Linked DNA regions of Lepisosteus oculatus. The protein of the gene in region 1 purifies or fractionates together with the protein of each later gene. This does not show direct contact. Links are inferred from orthologs where the notes say so. Each region holds a gene or a part of one and is shown on either strand. Other genes may lie near its edges.

Evidence for each region.
Region 2: the proteins of zinc finger protein 395 (region 1) and F-box and WD repeat domain-containing 11-B purify together in Homo sapiens (affinity purification with mass spectrometry; 5 studies listed by BioGRID and IntAct, with this or other methods). This does not show direct contact. The link is inferred for Lepisosteus oculatus from reciprocal best matches to the Homo sapiens genes ZNF395 and FBXW11.

What each region holds. Positions count from the first base shown.
Region 1 is NC_090697.1:60,064,660-60,075,498, reverse strand, and holds the start of zinc finger protein 395, read right to left. Parts: upstream 4,172-10,839; 5' UTR 3,942-4,171; intron 523-3,941; 5' UTR 485-522; coding exon 233-484; intron 1-232.
Region 2 is NC_090706.1:29,881,212-29,891,953, reverse strand, and holds the start of F-box and WD repeat domain-containing 11-B, read left to right. Parts: upstream 1-6,582; 5' UTR 6,583-6,658; coding exon 6,659-6,697; intron 6,698-9,245; coding exon 9,246-9,347; intron 9,348-10,742. Other genes in the region: eukaryotic peptide chain release factor subunit 1, read left to right, coding at 248-377, 466-621, 1,271-1,335, 1,943-2,090, 2,805-2,887.

The DNA.
Region 1 (10,839 bases):
GTATGTTAGTTGGCTTCTGGGAAAACTCGTCCTGGAGTGAATGTGTGAATTTGTGTCTGTGTCAGCGTATGGCCTGCAATGGACTGGTGTCCCTTCCAGGGTGTATCCTGTCTTGTCCTTCCAGGTATAGGCTCCAGGGCACCATGACCCTGAATTGGATAAGCAGCTGTTGAAAGTAATCTGCTGTGATTTGGATTCCCTTAAACTACCTCTGAAGAACCCCGGCCTTTACCTTCTGTCCTGGGTACAGCTTGAAGCGACTGAGGCTTTGGAAACCAGGCCCCACGATGCTATCTTGAGAGTATTCCTGCAGCTGCCCATCTTCCAGGGCTACAGTGCATGACCTCACTGCTCCGCCAGGCTCCGAATGCACAGCTTCAATCTGCCCTGGGACAAGCAGGCCATCTCCAGAGGGACATGGGGCGCACACCAAGGTCCCCAGCAAAGAGCGTTTCCCCAAGCGTTTGGGCACAACCGTCGCCATTGACGAACCACAGCAAAGGTATAACCTACTGTCAGCTCCTACCAGGAGAAAGATGACAACACACAAACATTTGATTTAACTTTTGGGATTCAAACTTTAATTTAACAAGTTCATGTGCACTTGTGCCTTTTTCACCTTTCTGCTTGAAGACTCAAGTCCTTTTATTTTTATTACCTGCTCATTTCGATATAATTTAGAATTTAGATTCTTTTCAAGATACTGCACATCTGATATTTTAAAGCATGCACGTGATTGAAGCAACATCATGTCCATCCTAGGAAACCTTAAGGGATAAGTGTTAATTTTTAATTTCAAAGAAATAAAATAAGAAATGGAAAGCTTAGTTGGATCCAGAACTAAAGTGAATGTTCAAACCACTCAAGAACATCAAATTGCAAATGGCAGGTTTTCTGTACAGTAGAAGCAAGAAGCATCTGAATAACTAACAGCCGCCATCAAATATCAGATTCTTACTGGAGACCAAGAGTTGGGAAAGTTTTCTTTTTATCCAGACTCCTTTTAAATTTGTACCACTGAACTTTTCGCATTACTTTTTGTGAGGTTCTGAGGTTTTTCTGAGATGAAAATCTTTCTTTCACCTCAGAAATACCGCTAGACCATGCCCTATGCTATCACTAACTGCAGCCAAAAACCTGATCAACACATTTTTGTTCTCTCAAATTGACTACTGTAATGCTCTACTCACTCGGGTATCTAAATCTACTTTGAACAAACTGCAGTATGTCCAAAATTCAGCAGCCAGAATCCTGACCAGGTCTAGTGCAAGTGATCACATTACTCCTATCCTGGAGTCTTTGCACTGGCTTCCTGTCAAATTCCATGTGGACTTTAAAATCCTCATGCTCACCTATAAGGCTCTGCATGGCTTGGCACCTCAGTACCTGTCTGAACTATTACTGCCCTACTCCCCACCTTGCAACCTTCACTCTTCTAATTCTGGTCTCCTAACTGTCCCTCAAGCCCGTGAACATTGTATGGGTCCTGTTATGCCCCCAAGCTCTGGAACTTTCTGCTCAAAGATATTAGAGTGTCACCTTCTCTAAACTCCTTCAAATCCAGACTCAGAACCTTCTTCTTTAGAAGAGCCTTTACTTAACTGGTTCCATTCCTCACCCTTCTGCTTTTCTTAGTACCACCATCAACAGTCTCCTCTGTATATTGTAATTGTGTTTTATCTTGTGGATTCTTTTTATTTATTGTTGTTGTCATTCTGTAAAGCAATTTGAGAAGCCACCTTCAAAGACACTATGTAAAATAAAGTTTATTATTATTATTATTTTTTATCTGCCTGAACATATACAGTATGTAGTCTTATCTTAGCTGTGCAGGTCAAGATGGAACAGTGTATCTGGTTTTTCAAGATTCTGATGTTGCTTTAGCTGAGTTAATTAAAAAAATGATAAATGTATTAACAAAAGACAAGATGACTAAGTTACGAAGGGATGTGCACACAACTTGGCAGCTAATCGGGAAATACAGTAAAAAGATTTGCCAAGGGTTAGATGAGAGAAAGCTTTAAAGAACACTAAAGACTATACACCCCCAACATGTGCCAACAAGAGTAAATCAAGTAATCGCTCCCCTTAGGAGACATTTCATGATGCTGTTTCACTGGTATCTATCACTATGAAGTACTAAGTTACAAATGTAAAGTATCATCGTTAGTATATTTCAATTCCCCCTTTTAGCTAGTTTAAAACTATATGGTCAGTTGTGGAAAGCGATACCTGATTTTTGGAATTCGAACCCATGATATTCTCAATTCTTTGGGATCAAAAAAAGCAAAAAGCACTCATTTAACTAAGACTAAGTCATATTTGGCTTTGTTTTCTTTTTCCTTCTTTACGTCAGTATGACTCAAAGTCATGATGCTGGATTAATTGCAACAGAAGGTCTCTGGTTACGTAAATTCTAACTTTGCATGAAGCAAAGTGTGACCACATGGCACGTCTCTCATGGTCTGTTATAATAACGGTTTGTTACGCATTCTAATCTACTGCAACCGAGTGCTGGAAAGTCCAACCACTGAGACCAACTTAAAATGTTCAATGAAAGTAATGAAAACAGGTCTCAGCTCAATCAAGCCCATATTCCCACGCCATACCTGGCAAATATAGTGCAATAAAATTGGGAACACAGCTCATTTGTCATTTCATGGACCCAATTTAATCAGTATAAGCATGCTGTCCACAAATGAATTAAATTGCTATACAACAATCTGAAATGTGTTTCCGAGTTTTGTTGGGGAATGCATCAAAAAAATACTTTGTCATGCTTAATTACTGTTGTCTTTCTTAATAGTTTCCATTAGAGTGTAAAACCATAGAATACTACACTCTGGTGATGGGATACAGTGGAAGTCTCCATATGTGCTGAATCATTAGAAAATGCCATGCTGACCAATGGTAATACTGGTCCTGTTTGTAAAATCCCTATTACATAAAAACAAAACTATCATATTGTCTTTTTACATACCGAAACATTTCCAAGCCACCCCAGAATAACACATGGCAGTTTCGGGCTTCATGAAAAAACACTCATGGTATGCATCAGTGAGCGAATACTTATTTCAGTTCCATGACAGATACAACTGCTGGAAAACGTCTAATTTGACTTTATGCCTCATCTTTAAAGAAACAGAAAAAATATATTACAAACGGCCTTCGCTGGCTGCATAGTTATTAGCCGAAGAACCTGTGAAACACTTCTCAACGCCCCCTACAGACCCTCACCCGCGTAGCCGGGAACATGGTTTTGCACCCGGCATCTTTTCACAAGCTGCTTCCAAATATGAACACGTCCTATTGCCGAATGCACTGAAGCTCAAGCGCACATATTGCAATGCAATTGCAAAACCCATCCCTTTTCTAGCGCTAAAACACTCAGTGGGTGATCCTAACAAAAATTAATTATTTTCTTTTTTTAAAAAAAAACTTTCTCCCCCAGTGTCCACGTAACTGGATCAGAAGTTTGCAAGTTGAGAGGAGGGGGGGCTCCACTGTTTATGGAACAGCTTGTTGATTTTTTTCTTTTTAAAATCAATACAGGGTTTTTTTTACTGTAAGCTTTTTTAACGATGCACAACCGTTCTAAACCAAATCGACCTGCTTCATAAAATCATAGCCGTCTCTGAAAAATAATCATTGAATTGCAAACTTAAAATTAAAAACTATTAGTGAAAAGTAATATATAAATTAAAATTCGGCTATAACAGAATTTCATGTTTTTTAAAAAGAGACTTCCAGTAAAATAGATTCGATTTTCTTCTTTTAAGAACAGCCCTTTATGGAAATTCTACAAAACAACACCAAAAAGGCGATCGACGCAGCACAAATTCGATAAACCTAGTGCAATCCAAACTCGGGATCAAAACATGAAATAACACTTTAAGTGAAAACTTACATTGCAAAATAAGTTTCAATGAAGATTTACATACCTTCTCTTACGCTTCTCTTATACCGCACACACCCCCTCGGTTAAACCTCGACTCTGACCGGCAGCAACTTAAAGTCGATGCTTTCAAAGCCAGCAGAAGGGCTCTTGTACGCTCTAAAGGCAAATATGGACTGGATTTCAGAATGGATTGGATTAGCACCTGAAAAGTCCGCGGTTTTTGAGGCGCAACTGATTATACTGCTCTGTGATAAAAAGCAGTATTATTTTGTGTGTATTTGTATTTACATTGATTCAAATTATTTCTAGATATTTTATTATACTAACCTATATAGCTATCTCTAGTTAATACGAAGATTAGATGCAGTTGCCGCATTTTATAAAAACCCTACTCCCCAGACTCTTTCGCTCTTGTAGTAAACAAGCTAACCATGTGGTAGGGATGTTAGCCTCCATTGGCCTACTCGTGTTTTCCAAGACACACGCCCTACAATCTCAAGTTGTTTATAACACTTTGCTTGAGCTGTGGTCTATTGCTTTGAGCACAAAGGATCAGCAAAAAGCGGGTTACGCATCTGCAATAATTTGAGACACCCAGTTGTTTACTTACTGAAGATAGCTAAGTGAAATGTAAATTATCATTCATAAGCAACTGAAGAAATAAATAATCTATTGATATAAAGCGAGTATTTGGTTTCTATTGTATGCATTTTCACATTTTTAAATAGCGCAGGTTAGCTCATTGTTATTTAAAAAGGATCATTCCTTGCAGCAAATGTTATTTCTATTTCATATGTTAACGTTTTAAAATTCATAACGTGTAAGCATGTGTAGAGCTCAAAACATTTTCTGTAATATTGACGATTCTGCGCTCAGCATTCACAGTGGGTCCACAGCGCTCGAACAGTACCGAAGGGGCTGGATGGTGACTGCTAGCTACGCCATATAGGACTGCACTGGGTCAAACCGGTTGATGGGCTCGTATAGGACAGCATTATTTGTGCTTCAAAGGCGTGGCAAAGCAATTAACAGTGACCTCTCCCTGGCCGATTTGCGCTTGTTCTAGTTGCGGATTGCCTCTGCGTACGTGCCCTGGAACACATGGTCGCCCACTGTGCACACTGTGCTCTGACAGAGGGGAAGAGACGCGTGCAGCACGTCTCTCACAAACACAGCCACGAAGGTAGCTCACGTCACTGAGCTGGCGAAATCAAAATAATTACCCGCGTCATGACCTGCATACTGGCTTTCTTTATTCATTTAATGCAAGAGGTTTGCTTAAAATAAGTTAAAATGAGTTCCAAAAATATGTCAGCCACAACCGCAACGGAAACTGGAAGGATCCTTAAACGTGTGTGTAGGAGTGGGCGGTGCTTCGGGCCAAAAAGTACTATATAAATGCAACGTGTTAATATTAGTAAAACAATTCCACTCTGTAGGGACACACAATTCTAGTTCACAAAGACTGGAACTCTGCACGTTTCATAGGTACATTTCAGTATGAAGCTTATTAAGAACTCGAAAATACGTTATTAAGATTCTTATCCAAATAATTTAAATAAGATAAGAGTGACAAGAAAACCAGTGCAGCCCTTCAGCACTGTATTTGACCATCTATGTTATAAATACAGCAGTGAGTTTCAGGTCAGTCGGACTTTGGGGGTGGGAACATTCAATAACTGAAAAACTAGTTTTTCTTCTTCCTGGTTTAAGTAATGGTTCTTTTATACTCTAGGGTGTTACATAGGTAGCTCTGTAACATAACCAATATGCAGTTACCTGCAAAAATAAAATTAGATTTGAAAAATCACTTCCATTACTAATTTAAAAAAAATGGTCAACAAGTGAAAAAAATGCCGCAGTTATGCTTTTGGTATTTCCTAAACAAGATGCATGCAGTTCTTTAACCCAGTTAGGTGTGGAATAAATATCTTTTATAATTCTGCTTATGTTTTGCCACAGTCAGGAGATCTTGCATTCATTGTGGTTAGCTGAGCTGGATGAGGAATTAGGTATGTGTTAGATGGCAGGCAGCCATCAAGGTTTCCTCTTCTACATTGTGAAATGTCCATTCCTGGGTTCTGAGACAGCTGTGGAAGAAACTAAATACCTTTATGTCTCTTCGTGGCAGCCTTTTCACTTGTTCTGCATACCAGATTGTACTGCCTTCTCACAGGATTTCATTCTTGAAAACAGATCTTTAGCTTGACAAAACAGCATAATGAGATCGATATTGAGGACAGGATTGTTTCCTTGTGAATTGTCCCCATGACTGTATGTCAGCTCAGTGTCTGACACCAGACCAGAAAACAGCCATTTCTCCCTCTCTCCCACAGGGAAGGTGCCTTTAAGATTAAAAGTATGGATGAAAGGGGGCTGAGCCTTGAAGACAAGGGGCTCGCCAGAGGTGAAACTTTGCTGTACAACTGAGGAGGGGGAGGAGGCAGGACAAGGAAACACAAGACAGATGGGTGCTGTTTTGCTTTTGATGTGTGAAAAATTATTGATCAAGTATAAGAGTGGAACCATTGATCCAACTCCCAAATTATGCTAGCCTTCTTTTCTTAATTATATCAAGGTCATCTACATGATTTCACTTTAATGAGGGACTGTACTTTCCGTTGTCAGTTTCTCTTGTTGAAGTTGATAGATTTAAGTGTTGGAAAGCAGGAATAGAATATAAATCCTTGGTTCATTTTTAAAGAAAATCTAAAATAGAAGAGTTTTTCACACAACGCTTAGTGGAGTTTGCACTTTGTTAAAAAGTGAATATCTGCCAACCACCAATATTTTCCTTAATGATTCTGTGCGTAGGAATAACCATGGGAAAGCACAGAATTTTGCACAAAAAAAAAACTCATATGAAGCAATCATAAGTGGAATAGCAACAGAAAGAAAAGGCAGATATCCCACTAAAGGAGTTTTCATTCAAGCATAAAGAGTTGCCTTGAATTTTAAAAATAGTAAAACAAGCAAGACAGAAACACTACTGAGTGATGAAATATTACGCAATATTAAATGTTATTAAGTAAATTATCTGTACGTGACATTAGAATTCTCTCAACATGATCTTGGTCATGTTTTAAATAGCAAATATTCATTGACATTTTGACATTGAGAAGAATAAGAGCTGCAAACAGTATTAAAACATTAATATTATTGTTGTTGGATGGACAAGAAGGAGAGGGGTTTTGTGGAAAACAAATTTATTGCAGAAAGAAGTAAAGTCGTGTCCACAAAACAGTGCACGAAAAGCAGTATATATGAAAAATGGCCATAACAAACAGGTTTTAGCCATTTACAGCACAAGCTCATTCAAACTACATTAATTCAAATTTTCACTCAGAAGCTTCTGACAGATACTTACTGTAACATGCCCATATACACCTTCAGTCTAGTTTATGCTGAGTAAACTGACTTCTTAATTGTGGGCAGGCTGTGGCTTGTTAACTGCTACTAGCTGCTTATTTAGATTTTCTCTATTAATGCTGAAAAATGCACACTTTTACAGACAAATATTTATATAACCAAATAAATATTAAATTAAACAATGCAAGACAAATACTTACGAATAAAGCTATAAGTCATAACTGTCCTAAATTGATTATTTAAAGTAATTATTATTGTAGAATGGTTAAATGTGCTTTTAATGACAATATACTTGCTAGAATTTAAATCCGTACATACACAGTAAAGTAGGATATATTACATTAAGTATATTTATTTACACATATATGGATACTTTTTAACAACATTTTTTCATTTACATGGAAACCAGGCCTGATGTCTTTAACATAATTATTCAAGTTTCCAGGATAGGATAACTTTAAACTTAATCTTTTCTACAGAAAGACTAATTTGTCTTTATAATCAGTTAAGGGAAGCTTCATCTTCACAATTATACTTTGCAGCTTTGCATTTTTGTATACTGTACATATAATAATGCAAAGCTGAAGTCCTTTTCCTGCTTTCACACGTTAGTGCCAACACCTCCCAATTACATTTTTACATCTCAGTGAAACCTTACATTGCTACCAACTGTGACTCAGAACATGTCCTGTGTGTTAATTTCGGCAGCTAGCACCTTACTTCCAGAGTATAATAATTTTAGCCCAAGGGACTTTTCTTTCACAATTCAATAACCGTCATGGGTTCTCCATAGTCATATACTGGAAACCATATGTAACATGATGAAATTACGGAATAATTCAAGGCTTTGTGTGAACTATACTGTGCATACCTCAAGAGCTGCACATTTAGATTTCATGATGTACAGAGACATCTAGCTTCATCATTTGATGCAGCAAATAAGCACCTTTCCCTATAGAATTAATTATTTTTCACAGTAGGGGCAGTTTTCCAGAGCTCCAATTTCAGGATTAAATGGATTCTTTTTAAAATATGCAAATTCATATCAGGGGCTATTCACTACATTTTCCACCATTGGAAAGCTTGCCTGTCTATTTCACTAATGAGAAAATCCATTTAGCTAATCCTACAATACCATCATAGTTCTGAATAAACCAGAAATGTACAGAGTCCGTAACTGATATTTTTAAGTTGTTTAGAGTCGTTTAAAAACCTTGACCTTATATTTAGAACACTTAAGTGTTTGTATTCCCATAAAACGCAATGGAAATGTAGACAATTAAACAATTTGATTTAGAGCCAATCTAGTATTATTCTTTGAAAAACAGCAGTCTTTGTTTCTGGTGCAATTTTTAAAACATGATGACTGTCGTCTTATATAACAGCAGGACTACAATAACTTACAGTAATTAAATAATGTTTTGCTGAGCTAGGATGACCATAGGGATCTTCAAAACTTTTTTTTTTCACAGTGGCACACACATGGTAATCAAAACTGAGCCAGAATCTTGTTGAACTCAACTTTTTCACTCTGTTTTAAAGTGCAAGCCATGTCGTGAGCATGGCCACCAGACAAAGTCTGACAGTGGCATGATGTGAATTGTGGATTTGCATTGACTTAGAAAAGGAGCCACTAAGTACATTAAGAGCATGTTCTATGTTTCTAAAAGCGATTCTGTTTGTGTTATTCCTATGTTTTAAATGTCCTGAGGAAATTGTTTAGGAGAGAAACGTTTCTAGAGAGACGTTTCTAGAGAGATAAAGATGTAAGTTAAGGTTCTGGCATTTTCAAGTTTCCAAGCACCTTTTTATATAAAGGATAGTGGAAGTTTGGAATAAATTGTCTTATCATGCTCTTTAAAGTAGTTTCTCTGGTATCCATTAAGAAATAGCCGGAGGAGATTCTTTGGACACAAAGCTGCTAGCAACCAGATACAATAGGTAAGACAGGCCAAATGGTCTCTTTATTTATAACCTTTGTCACATACTTGAAATTCTAGGGTCCTGAAGAAAATAATATTTTAATGCTACGGGGTTCATGTGGGCACCCTCGCCGCCTCAAGTCAGCCCCCCACCATCGGGGACCCGAACCCAGGCCTCCGGCGTCACTCAACAGGAACCCAGCCTCTTGAGCCAAATGGAAATCTCCCGTCAGCCCAGCGGCTGCGGTCCCTGCTATTCACAGGGAAGGGCGGTGAAGTCACCACTCTGGTAAGCTAGCTCTCACAAGCAATGGAGGCCGTATGCGTTACACTCTCCCCCGCTTAACTCGCCATCCTCGGCGAAGGGCTATCCCACCTCACTTCTGACACCAATGTAACTCTACAGGGTTCACATGGGTGCCCACACCGCTGCCGCATCAGGTCAGCCCCCCACCGTCGGGGACTCAAACCTGGGCCTCCAGCATCACTCAACAGGGACCCAGCCTCTTGAGCCAAAGGGAAATCTTCCATCAGCCCAGCGACTGCAGTCCCTGCTATTCACAGGGAAGGGCGGTGACGTCACCGCTCTGGTAAGCCAGCTCTCACAAGCAGTGGAGGCCGTATGCGTTACAATATAATAAAACATACACAGGTGTGTGTTGATGATGCATAAAACACAAATTACCATAAATATACGTTCTGTGCTATTGTCAAATAAACTATATACTAATTTAAATCTACAACAAATTCACATAGCAATTACCATTTTTTGTTTTGTAGCAGGTGGAATAATATTTGATCAAACATCACATAGCACAGGCAAATTAACTATACTAATTAACATTTGTCATCTACAAGGGGTTTATAGTAAAAGTCACCAACTGGTAGCATGTGTGGCTACTGTCAGAAGCAATACGAGCTGCACATCTGTGATGCAGGCTTTGCACCAGATTGTAGAGTGACTGTCCAATGGGATTCTATGGGAAGCATTCCTCTCTTAATGCCTGGACGAGCATATAGTCTCTCTGGTCACCAAGCCCTTGATGTCCCACATTGCCTCAGTTCATCCTATAAATGTCCAGAGGAGCTTAAGTCTGGAAAGGAGGCCATCCACATCATAACTGTCATATTCTCAGTTTGCAATAAAACAGCTCTTTACACTAGCATTATCATAATGTATGTTATCCTGCTGGAATGTTTTCATGTTAGAATAACAGAACAGGAAGAGCAGCCACTGGAATTTTAGGACTTCTTCACTGCCACACAGTAAGTGTAAATTGTGTATTCCTAACACATCACATTTTCTCTCTCTGTTTTCAGTAAATTGATTTCCATCAAGGCAGGTGGAGTTCTGCTCAGACCATCACACTTATGGTTGTCATGACTTGACTGTTACCTATAATTGATGAGCTGTGTTTGGTTGTAAAATGGCTTGGTTATGAACACCCTAGATGGCTATGCAGTGACATGTTTCTAATATACCAATGGCATAAAGGTTTTATTCTCTTGGTTAGTGGAGTGTATTGGCTTCATTTTTGTTTTCTTATTCTTGATTTTCACCAAGCTTGACATTCAATACATCTAACTACTTCATCACCTACACTATGTCCAGTGAACTCTCTCTGATTTACTAATAATACAACAGTCAAA
Region 2 (10,742 bases), on another chromosome or scaffold:
ATATTGTGGAGTGTAGAAATGACATCGAAAGCCCCATACTAGGTCAGCACTGCCACATGAACTGATTGTCAGTGCAATCTATGTGTAACTGGTTGTGTTTTAGTATTATCTGTTTCCCAGGATCTGTCTTGTGAAGAACCACTACTCAGGTCTTGTCCAGATTGACAGTCTGACAGTACTGCTCCAGCAGGACCAGGTCATCGGCGTAGAGCAGGAACTTGACCTCCGTGTCTCTCTGTTTCACCAGAGGTTGCAGGCGAAGGTGCTGAAGCTGGTCGACATCTCGTATGGTGGAGAGAACGGCTTCAACCAGGCCATCGAGCTGTCGGCCGAGGTGCTGTCCAACGTCAAGTTCATCCAGGAGAAGAAGCTCATTGGTACGCTGCCATCTGGGCCAGGGCTGCTCTGGGGGCACCGCGCAGTGTGGGCCTGCGGGGTGCTCAGCCTCTCCCTGTCCCCCCTCAGGCCGGTACTTTGACGAAATTAGCCAGGACACGGGGAAGTACTGCTTCGGGGTGGAGGACACGCTGAAGGCTCTAGAGATGGGCGCAGTGGAGATCCTCATCGTCTACGAAAACCTCGACATCATGCGCTACGTCCTGCGATGTCACGGCACCGAGGGTACGGGCCTGTCGCCACCATCCTGGTCTCTCGCACGCTCGCATCCACGCACCCTCACCACCATCCTGGTCTCTCGCACGCTCGCATCCACGCACCCGCAATGTCACCACCATCCTGGTCTCTCGCACGCTCGCATCCACGCACCCGCAATGTCACCACCATCCTGGTCTCTCGCACGCTCGCATCCACGCACCCGCAATGTCACCACCATCCTGGTCTCTCGCACGCTCGCATCCACGCACCCGCAATGTCACCACCATCCTGGTCTCTCGCACGCTCGCATCCACGCACCCGCAATGTCACCACCATCCTGGTCTCTCGCACGCTCGCATCCAAGCACCGTCACCGTCACCACCATCCTGGTCTCTCGCACGCTCGCATCCACGCACCGTCACCGTCACCACCATCCTGGTCTCTCACACACTCGCATCCACGCACCGTCACCACCATCCTGGTCTCTCACACTATCACCCCAGGGTATTAGACATACACAACCCCCACCTGCACTGTCACTGCAAGCCAACACACACATGCACACTAGCATTGTCAGAACCATCATGATGTCACATGCTGTGTGGCTGCAGGCTCTTCTACACTGGAGTGTGTCTTGGTGTGTCTCCCTGTTGTCTGACACTCGTTTGTCTTGCAGAAGAGAAGATTTTGTACCTTACGCCAGAGCAGGAGAAGGACAAGTCCCACTTCACAGACAAAGAGGTGAGGAGAGTCTGTTCTCACTCCAGCCTGTATTGGCACGACCAGCAATAATTAGAAAAGCATTTGCAGCCACGCTGAACAATAAAATACTGATATCTTCTGTTTTCGGCATGACTAGGTTGTGAAGTTCTTGCCAAAGCAGGTTTTAAGAACGTCAGAAAGGTTACAAACAGGAGGGGACCATTAAGCCTGTCTGGCCTGTGTCATTACTGGCTGATTGATCAAAGATCATCCAGCTGTTGAAGCCAGGGTATCGGCTTCAACTACGTGGTTGGGCAGCTTGTTCCACACACCCACCACCCTTTGTGTAAAGAAGTGCCTCCTGTGCTGACTGGAGGATGTCATCCGGATTTTTCTTGAAAGAGAGCAAAATATCCGTTTCATCAGAATGGCTGTGCGGCTTGTTCTACCCTCCCACTACTCTCAGTGTAAAGACGTTTCTCCTGGGCTCCATTTTAAATGCTCTTCCCTGTAGTTTAGTCTTCTGGTTCAGTCGTCACCAGTGACCCTGAAGAAGTCCTCTGGATTGTCCAGTGGGAGAGCAGTGCTGTTGGGGCTGTAGGTGTTGTGAGTGATCGTGTTCCCCCTCTCTCTCTCTCTCCGTCAGACGGGGCAGGAGCACGAGCTGATCGAGAGCATGCCCCTGCTGGAGTGGTTCGCCAACAACTACAAGAAGTTCGGCGCCACGCTGGAGATTGTCACGGACAAGTCGCAGGAGGGCTCGCAGTTCGTCAAGGGGTTCGGCGGCATTGGGGGTGAGTGAGTGGTGGGGTCTGTAAGGGGTTCGAACCCCTTTTCTCCTGCGCCCTCTCAAATTCAAGGAACTCGATTGGAACAGCTGATGAATGAGTGTGGTCAGAGGAGTAACAATCAGGAAACATTGGCCGTGTCCTCTTAAGTTCACACCTCTGTGTAGAGCAGGTGTGAATTTAAAGTGTGCGGGTATTCGAGATGCTCGCTTATTAAAAGGGTAGTGGGACACCCTCACATGATATCACACATATGGGGTAATTCCCTTCAGTCTGCTGTGTTGCACTCATTGGGGGCACTCATGAGCACCTTTGTGAAACTCAACTTAAGCTCTGCAGGAACTGGGCGGAAGGAAACAAGGGACACGAGGCTGCAAGTGTGCATATTGGAACTCAGAAATTCAGGATATAAACGTTTGTCATTTATTTTTGTCTAAACCTGGAGTATTTCTCATAGTGCAGAAAGTGTGTCTCTAGACCTGCTGGCAGTGGGAGCACAGCCTGTCCTCTCTGGACAGTCAGGTCTGTCTGTGTCCAGTTTCTAAGACCAGGCTGTGGTCACTGAGCCTGTCCTCTCTGGACAGTCAGGTCTGTCTGTGACCAGTTTCTACGGCCAGGCTGTGGTCACCTGTAACAGTTGTTCCAGTTGTTTCCCAGTGGGTAAGGTAGTGTTGTTTGCCCTGCGGCTGACCCTGATCTCTCTCACCCTCTCTCTCACAGGGATCCTGCGGTACCGAGTGGATTTCCAGGGGATGGAGTACCAGGGTGACGACGACGAATTTTTTGACTTGGATGACTACTAGGTAGTCCAGACTGGGGCGTCAACACCACCTCTCTTCCTCCTTCAGTGAGAGAGGGAGGAATGACCACATACCGAGAGAGGGAGAGGGAGACGGCAGGAGAAATGTCTTCACAACACAGCGCGTGTCTGCGGGGCGCCCCTGCCCTGGCCCAGCGGCCGTGCCGGGGCGAGGGGGGCTCCCCTTGTCTAGACGTTTCTCTTCGCAGTCATAGGAACGTGTCCCGGCCCCTGAGAGATCAGAGCGCTGCCCCCTCATCCCACAGCGCTTCGGACTCACGATTCCCAATCTTATAATTATAGAGAGAACTATTTTTCTTTATTTCTCCCTCTCCCACCCCGCCAGCGAGCTCCCCTCCCTGCCCTCCCCCCATTTTTTTTTTTTTTTACAGGCATCAGCTGCTGTTGTATTTTATGAAGTTCAATTTTTTTTTTACCTTGGGTTCTGTAGAAGAGCGGAAGTGTATTAAATTTGAAACTGCTTAACAACATTTAACCCCTTTATGGTCCAGCTTTCCATTTCATCCTGTTGCTGTTGGCTGTCAGCTGTCCAAGGTGCTCGTGTCCATTAGGAGGGGGGTGGGGGGCCGATGTCCTTCTCCTGTCACACGGGGGGGGTGGGGCTGAGGCTCCTGATGTGTTTTTCTGGGGCTCCTGTAAGCACCACAGTGTCCACCCAGCAGGCCCAGGGGCGCAGCTAGAGCTGCTGATCCCTGCTGGCCATGGGTGTGTCCCCATCGAATTGGGGGTGCTCTCCAGATGTTGAATGATGGAGGGGCGACGTTGTCTGCAGGAATTCCCCGATGGACGATTGGCTACTGATCCTGCTGCCCTTCCTCAGTTGGTGTGTTGAGGTACAGGGACCCTTGGTGATGAATAGGAGACACTTCTCTTCCAGCAAAACTCTTTTCCACCTGCTCTTCACATTGAGAGGAGCAGGTAGGGCTGTAAGCTGGGCTTTCTGGTCTGATGAAAGTGTACTGAGGAGCTGAGGGCTGTACTACAGTTTACTGTGGGTCCTAGCTAAGCTGAGGGCTGTACTACAGTTTACTGTGGGTCCTGGCTAAGCTGAGGGCTGTACTACAGTTTACTGTGGGTCCTGGCTAAGCTGAGGGCTGTACTACAGTTTGCTGAGGGCTGTACTACAGTTTGCTGTGGGTCTAGGCTACACTGAGGGCTGTACTACAATTTTCTGAGGGTCTGGGCTTCACTGGGGACTGAACAAGAGTTTACTGAGGGTCTGGGCTTCACTGGGGACTGAACTACAGTTTACTGTGGGTCTGGGCTACGCTGAGGGTCTGGGCTTCACTGGGGACTGAACAAGAGTTTACTGAGGGTCTGGGCTTCACTGGGGACTGAACTACAGTTTACTGTGGGTCTGGGCTACGCTGAGGGTCTGGGCTTCACTGGGGACTGAACTACAGTTTACTGAGGGTCTGGGCTACACTGAGGGTCTGGGCTTCACTGGGGACTGAACTACAGTTTACTGATGGTCTGGGCTACAGTTTACTGTGGGTCTGGGCTTCACTGGGGACTGAACTATAGTTTACTGTGGGTCTGGGCTACAGTTTACTGTGGGTCTGGGCTTCACTGAGGACTGTACTACAGTTTACTGAGGGTCTGGGCTACACTGAGGGTCTGGGCTTCACTGGGGACTGAACTATAGTTTACTGTGGGTCTGGGCTACAGTTTACTGTGGGTCTGGGCTTCACTGAGGACTGTACTACAGTTTACTGAGGGTCTGGGCTACACTGAGGGTCTGGGCTTCACTGGGGACTGAACTATAGTTTACTGTGGGTCTGGGCTACAGTTTACTGTGGGTCTGGGCTTCACTGAGGACTGTACTACAGTTTACTGAGGGTCTGGGTTACACTGAGGGCTGTACTTTAGTTTACTGTGGGTCTGGGCTAAGCTGAGGACTGTACCACAGTTTACTGAGGGTCTGGGCTACACAAGGAAGGAGGGCGGGTGTGCTGATGTTTGTGACAGATTGTGGAGGCAGACTGTCAGGGGCTGTGCACTGATGGTTACAGCTGTGCTTTTCATTGCTTGATACTCATGGCCGTGGGGATGCCGTCTTTGTGCTGGTACAGGCATGCCCCATCACTCATCACTCATCGCTTCGGAAGAACCACAGATCATGCAGGTGTTAGGACTGGTGTTTGACTGAAGGGTGAACAGTGCTGCAGGTGAAACCTGCCCAAGAATGCTGAATTATTACCTGTTCAAACTGTCAGACTTCATCCAGCATAACCATCCCAATTTGCCTGGAGCTTTGCTGGTCTTTGACTTTTTTGGGGAACAAGCCCAGAGTTTCAGAAACTCTCCACCGGGTCCACATTCATGCTGAATATATTTTGGGCTCCTCCCTCCTCTGTAAAATTGATCTGCTAGACCACAGTCCTTTGAGTAGAAATGGCTACTAGGGGGACAAAAGAAAGGTTTAGGTTTTTGGTGAACTGGGTGCCTAGATGTGTTTTGTCCTGCGCTGTAATGCTGCTGTATGACATGAACTAAAAAGGGTCTTTGCTGTATTCTGATTGAGCTTATTTAGGTTCCTACTTAACTCATTTTCAGCTATGGAAGATCTTGACTGCAGGTGCTGGATTTGATTACAGGTCTACCAAAGCCAACTCTATCCATCCAGTTTCTCACCACTTCCTCCAACGTGGGGTCACAGGGGAACTGGAGCCTATGTTGGCAAGCAGTGGCCCCAGGGTGGGTACACCCTGGCCAGGATGCCAGTGCAGGGCACAGATACACTGACACCAGTGGCAATTTTGCCAGAAGTCAACCTACCAGCATGTCTTACATGGATGGTGGGAGGAACATACAACCTCCACACCGAGCCAGGGCCCCAGCTCTGCGAAGGCAGCAATGCTAACGCCTGCACCACCATGCTGCCCCAAAGCCGAGTCCAAGACCTCTTGCTTAGTTGGAATTTGTGTTTTGCTCATGTTTCATATTCCTCCTTGCTACTCCACCCCCCTTCTCGCTGTGATTCTTTGCTTTTCGTCTCCATGCGGGAAGCATGGCCTGTCCCGGCCGGGACAGTAGGGACTGGGCCCCCAACGCCGTCCGAGAGCAGCAGGGAAGCTCGGTTGTAGAGAGCTGGAGTATCCTGGATCCCTGGGGCTCTGCCAGCAGTGGCAGAAGCTTGTAAGAAGAGTGGCGGAGGGAGGGAGCTGCTTTGTCTGGTGTGACAGCTTCATGATCCTGGAGCCCTGGTGAGGCTAGTCTTGTAGCACACCCTAAATCAGAGAGCCCCCCCCCAACACAGTACCCCAATCCCTCAGGGTTCACAGCACAGTAACCTGGCTGAGGTCACCCCAATCCCTCAGGGTTCACAGTACCCCAGGTGGAGCCTCCACAATCACTTGGGGTTTCCCCCAGCCCCAGTCACGACTTTTTACGCTGTGTAACATCGAATAATGCTACTCTGTCGATGTGTGTGAAAGACATGTCGATTATGAGAAATGTCCAGCTTTCACATCGCCTTGTCTGAACTCAATGGTTGCCACAACTGACTATGGCGGGTCTCGGCTTCACTGGTGCCCAAAGCACAATTGAAAGCCAGCCCAGGATTGGCCACCGCCGCAGAGGGGAACCAAAGAGGGGGGAGGCGAGAGACTTGGGAAGAGGTTTTACCGCCCCGCCCACTCCCCCCCAGCTGCGCAATGACGTTGATGACGTCAGGGCCTCGGGCGGGGGCGGCGTGCGCAGTGACGCAGGGCTGGGTTTCCATTTTCGCAGCGAGTTTCGGGGGAACAACAACATGGAGCCGGACATGGAGGACAAGAGCCTGGAGCTGATGGTGAGTGGGGTCGGGAGAGCGCCGCTCCCCACGGGCGTGGGCATAGCAAGGGGACGGCTCCGGCCCCGGAGGGAAGAAGGATCGCGATCGAGGTAGCGAGGGGGCAGATCGGCCTAGATGGGGGAGAGAGAGGCGGCGGAGGAGGCGGCGATGGTGGTGAGGGAGGGGGGTCAGGCATAGAGGCACAGGGCCCGAGAGGTCGAGATATTCGAAGAGTTTTCACCTCGCTTTTCGGGGTCTGAGCGCGACCAGGGCGAGAGAGAGAGAGAGCAGAGAGTTCGCCTTGTGGGCCGAGCGTCAGGCCCGGGTCTCGACTGCGCCACAGGGGCCTGGGCTCCGGCCCGGGCCAGCTCGGAGAGGGACGGAGCCGGGCTGCGAGTGAAGGCGACCCCGCACAGACGCGGCAGGCCGCTCGCCGGCAGGCGGCCTCCGCACGGCCTCGTCGCGGCTCGCCGGGGGCCCGTCCGTGGCCCCTGCGCGGCCGGGCGTGCGGGGTTGGAGACGGAGACGCGGCCCAGTCGCCGCGTCGCAGGAGGAAGTGTGGGACGCGGAACCGGGTCGCGGAGTTCGGGCCTGTCCGTCTGGCCGGGATCGGCTCTCGCTCCCACAGCCCGAGGTACTCGATCCAGTCGCGGCGACCGGTGGACACTCCTCGGTAGCCGAAGTCGGGTTGTCGCCTGTGGATGTGGTCGAGGGAGCGCTGGTTCGCGTCTTGACTCATTGGTCTGTGACTGGGTCAGGGGCGTTGGTTTGTGTGGCAGTGCGTGTCCGCTTCTGTGTGGGTCTGCTGTCTGTGGGACCTGCCTTGTGTGTGGCTGGGGTGCCTGTCTGTGAATTTGTGGATGGAGGGCGTTAGTGTGATAAGGGACATTTGTGGAAAAATAAAAATATCCAGATACCCTGCTTCTGAACATTACTGTTCTAGTCCAGAGATGAGATGGCTTTCTCTGGCTGTGGATCATTTCCTGTTGTCTAAATGTTTAGTTGTAGTGTCTGTGCCACTATATTTCACAGTCATGGCTGAAGGAGAGTATACAGTATTTTTTATTCTGACCCCCAGCAGTCTGATCCACTCCAGGCTTTACAGTGCTGTCAGTCACACTCCCAGTGCACAGCAGTCTGATCCACTCCAGGCTTTACAGTGCTGTCAGTCACACTCCCAGTGCACAGCAGTCTGATCCACTCCAGGCTTTACAGTGCTGTCAGTCACACTCCCAGTGCACAGCAGCCTGATCCACTCCAGGCTTTACAGTGCTGTCAGTCACACTCCCAGTGCACAGCAGCCTGATCCACTCCCGGCTTTACAGTGCTGTCAGTCACACTCCCAGTGCACAGCAGTCTGATCCACTCCAGGCTTTACAGTGTTGTCAGTGTGACTCCCAGTACACAGCAGTCTGATCCACTCCAGGTTTTACACTACTGACAGTCTCACTACCACTTTGCTGTTATCTCTTTTCTATCCATCCATTCTGATGTTGACTGTTAGGAGGCCTAGATCCAGAATCCAGCTCCCTTTACCAGTCCTAAAATCAACAGCCGGTCCTCTACAAAGCCCTGCCCAAGAAATCTGAAGGAAACCAGTTGAACATTCGGGACACTGTTGGCCAGTACCATACATGATTGTGCTGTTCCCACCATGTAACAGAATGCAGACGACGCTCATATGTGTTTGTTCTACTTTAACCTGGTACCAGCTGGAAGAGGATGGGCTCCTCCTTCCCAGCCTTGGTTCCTCTCAAGGTCTCTTCCTACTCTGAGGGAGTTTTTCCTTGGCACCATCGCCCTGGGCTTGCTCGCTTGGGGTTCAGGCCCGGGAATCTGTAAAGCTGCTTTGTGACAATGACCATTGTAAAAGGCGCTATACAGAAGACATTGAATTGACTGAGTCTGGCGGATCAGACTGCCCTGCACTGCCGGTCTGTTGTCTCGCACACAGGCTGGGCTCAGCCCCTGGCCCCAGCAGGGGCCGGGCGGAGTGTTGCCGTGCTCCTGGGGGCTCCCTCGCTGTGGTCAGCTGTGGCAGGACTTGCCCTGTGCCTGGGGGTCTGTGGCGCTCGTGGGGGCGGGGGGGATCCGAGAGCCGTGTCTGAGCAGCGCCGGGGTGGGCTTGTGCTTCGGAGCAGCTGCGCCTCTGGGCGAGAGCGGGGGGTCCGAGCGGGATTAGGGAGGCGGGGGGCTTGAGAGGGAGACACAGCGGGCACAGAGCCGGCCACTCGCCCCCTTCCTCTGCCACTCTGGAGCACAGCACGTGACTGTAGCCTTTGCTCTCTGGCTTCACCAGCTAATTCGTCCGCTGCTCATTCTAGCAGTGCTCCTGCTCTCCCCCTCTCCTCCTCTCTTCACTTTATCCAGCTCTCTCTCTCTCTCTTTCCACTTCTTCCCCTCTTTGTCGGATTCTCTTCCCTGTCTCGGTGCGCGTGGCGGCGCTTGGCGTGCGTGTGAGGCAGTGCTGTGTGTGGGTCAGTGTGCGTGGGTGAGAGAGAGATTGTGGCTCCTAATGGCTGTTTCTCACTCCCTCCCCTTCTCTCTCTCTCTCTCTCTCTCGCAGTGCTCAGTGCCCCGCTCTCTCTGGTTGAGTTGCTCCTCGGTGGCAGAGAGTTTGTGTGCACTGAGGTGCCTGCGGAGCATGCCCAGTGTCCCGGGTCTCCAGGTGCCCGTCTTACTTCCTCTCGTGGGTGGGGCTGGCAGCCGCTCCTCCCACTGTGGGCGGGGCCTCCGGGCCGCACTGGGCGTGGCCAGGATTGCCTGCCGCGGGGCTCCCGGGCAGACTGTACTGAGGGAAGCCTAGAAGCAAGTTTGGTCAATGCGAGCGCTTCTCGACTGCCTGTGTCAGTGTTGAAAAGGGGATGGAGAATGAAATCTCCAGCCCCTGGCCGGGCAGTTGCACCCTCGGTCCCAGTGCACAGCAGTCTGATCCACTCCGGGGTTCACCAGCTCAAGGGCTTTGATTTAGAAGGGCTGGAGGTCTAAAGCTCACTGCCTTGTTCAGAGTCTGCTTGCACAGATGTGTGGGGATGCAGTAATGGGCATCAGACCTGCCCTCTGCCCCCCTGCCCCCCCCGTGTCTTCAGTATAGTTTTAATTTGGCAGACCTGGCATATCCTGGTGGGGCGTCCCGTTTCCCCCCTCAATTGGTCGATTGAGGACTGTCGTACCCAGACCAGACCAGACCAGCAGCTCCCCCGCCCCCCCGTGGGGTAGCAGACGTGGAAGTGAAGCGTCCCGCTTCCTCTCCAGCCCGACAGGAAGAGCCCCGCGGCTGGCCGACACCAGGGGGCGCCGTGGTGCGGCAGGAGGCAGGCGGCTGCCTGCCCGGGTGTTCGTGTGCATGTGTGCCTGCTGCCTGGCTCCGTCCGTCTGCCCGTCTGCCTGCGGCTTCTGTCTGTGTGCTGCTCTGTGACCGCTCTCTCCCTTCCACCCCCCCACCCCCCTTCACCCAACACCCACCCACCCAGACACAGGGGGGAATCCTGGGAAACTCACGGGGAGCGGCAGGTGGGATCGCGTGCGAGGCTGGAGCTCCCATGAGGCCGTACAGCAGCTCGTGTAGCAGCTCGTCCTCCTGGTCCAGCTAGCGCTGGCGTTGGGTGTCCCGCCAGGCAGGAAGCTCATCCTCTGCCTCTTGTCCTCCCTGTTTCGAGCGTGGCTGTCGACGTCGTTGGCTCGGTGGCGACGTGACCGGGTTTTCCAGGCGTAGCTCACGGAATCGTGAGAGGTCGTGCCCCCCCCCGGGGCGGATCTCCTCTTCACCCGGGGCTGAAGATCCCGGCCGGCCGGAGCTGCGAGCGAGAGAGAGAGGGGGTTGTGCGTCTTGCGCGGTGCGCGGGTGTGTCCGAGGGCGCGTGGGGTCTCGAGCGGTGCGGTACTGGAGGTGACCACCTGGGGGTGCCAGAGGAAAGGTGGGGGATGAGGAAGGGAGCGAGCCATTGGCTCCGCACCTGCAGGCTAGGCCGACGCGACTGTCCGTCACTCTCCAGTCTCTCTCTCTGCCCTGTGTCTGTGCCTGTTGTCTGAGATGTAGAGCCCCCCCCCTTCTCCCTCCCAT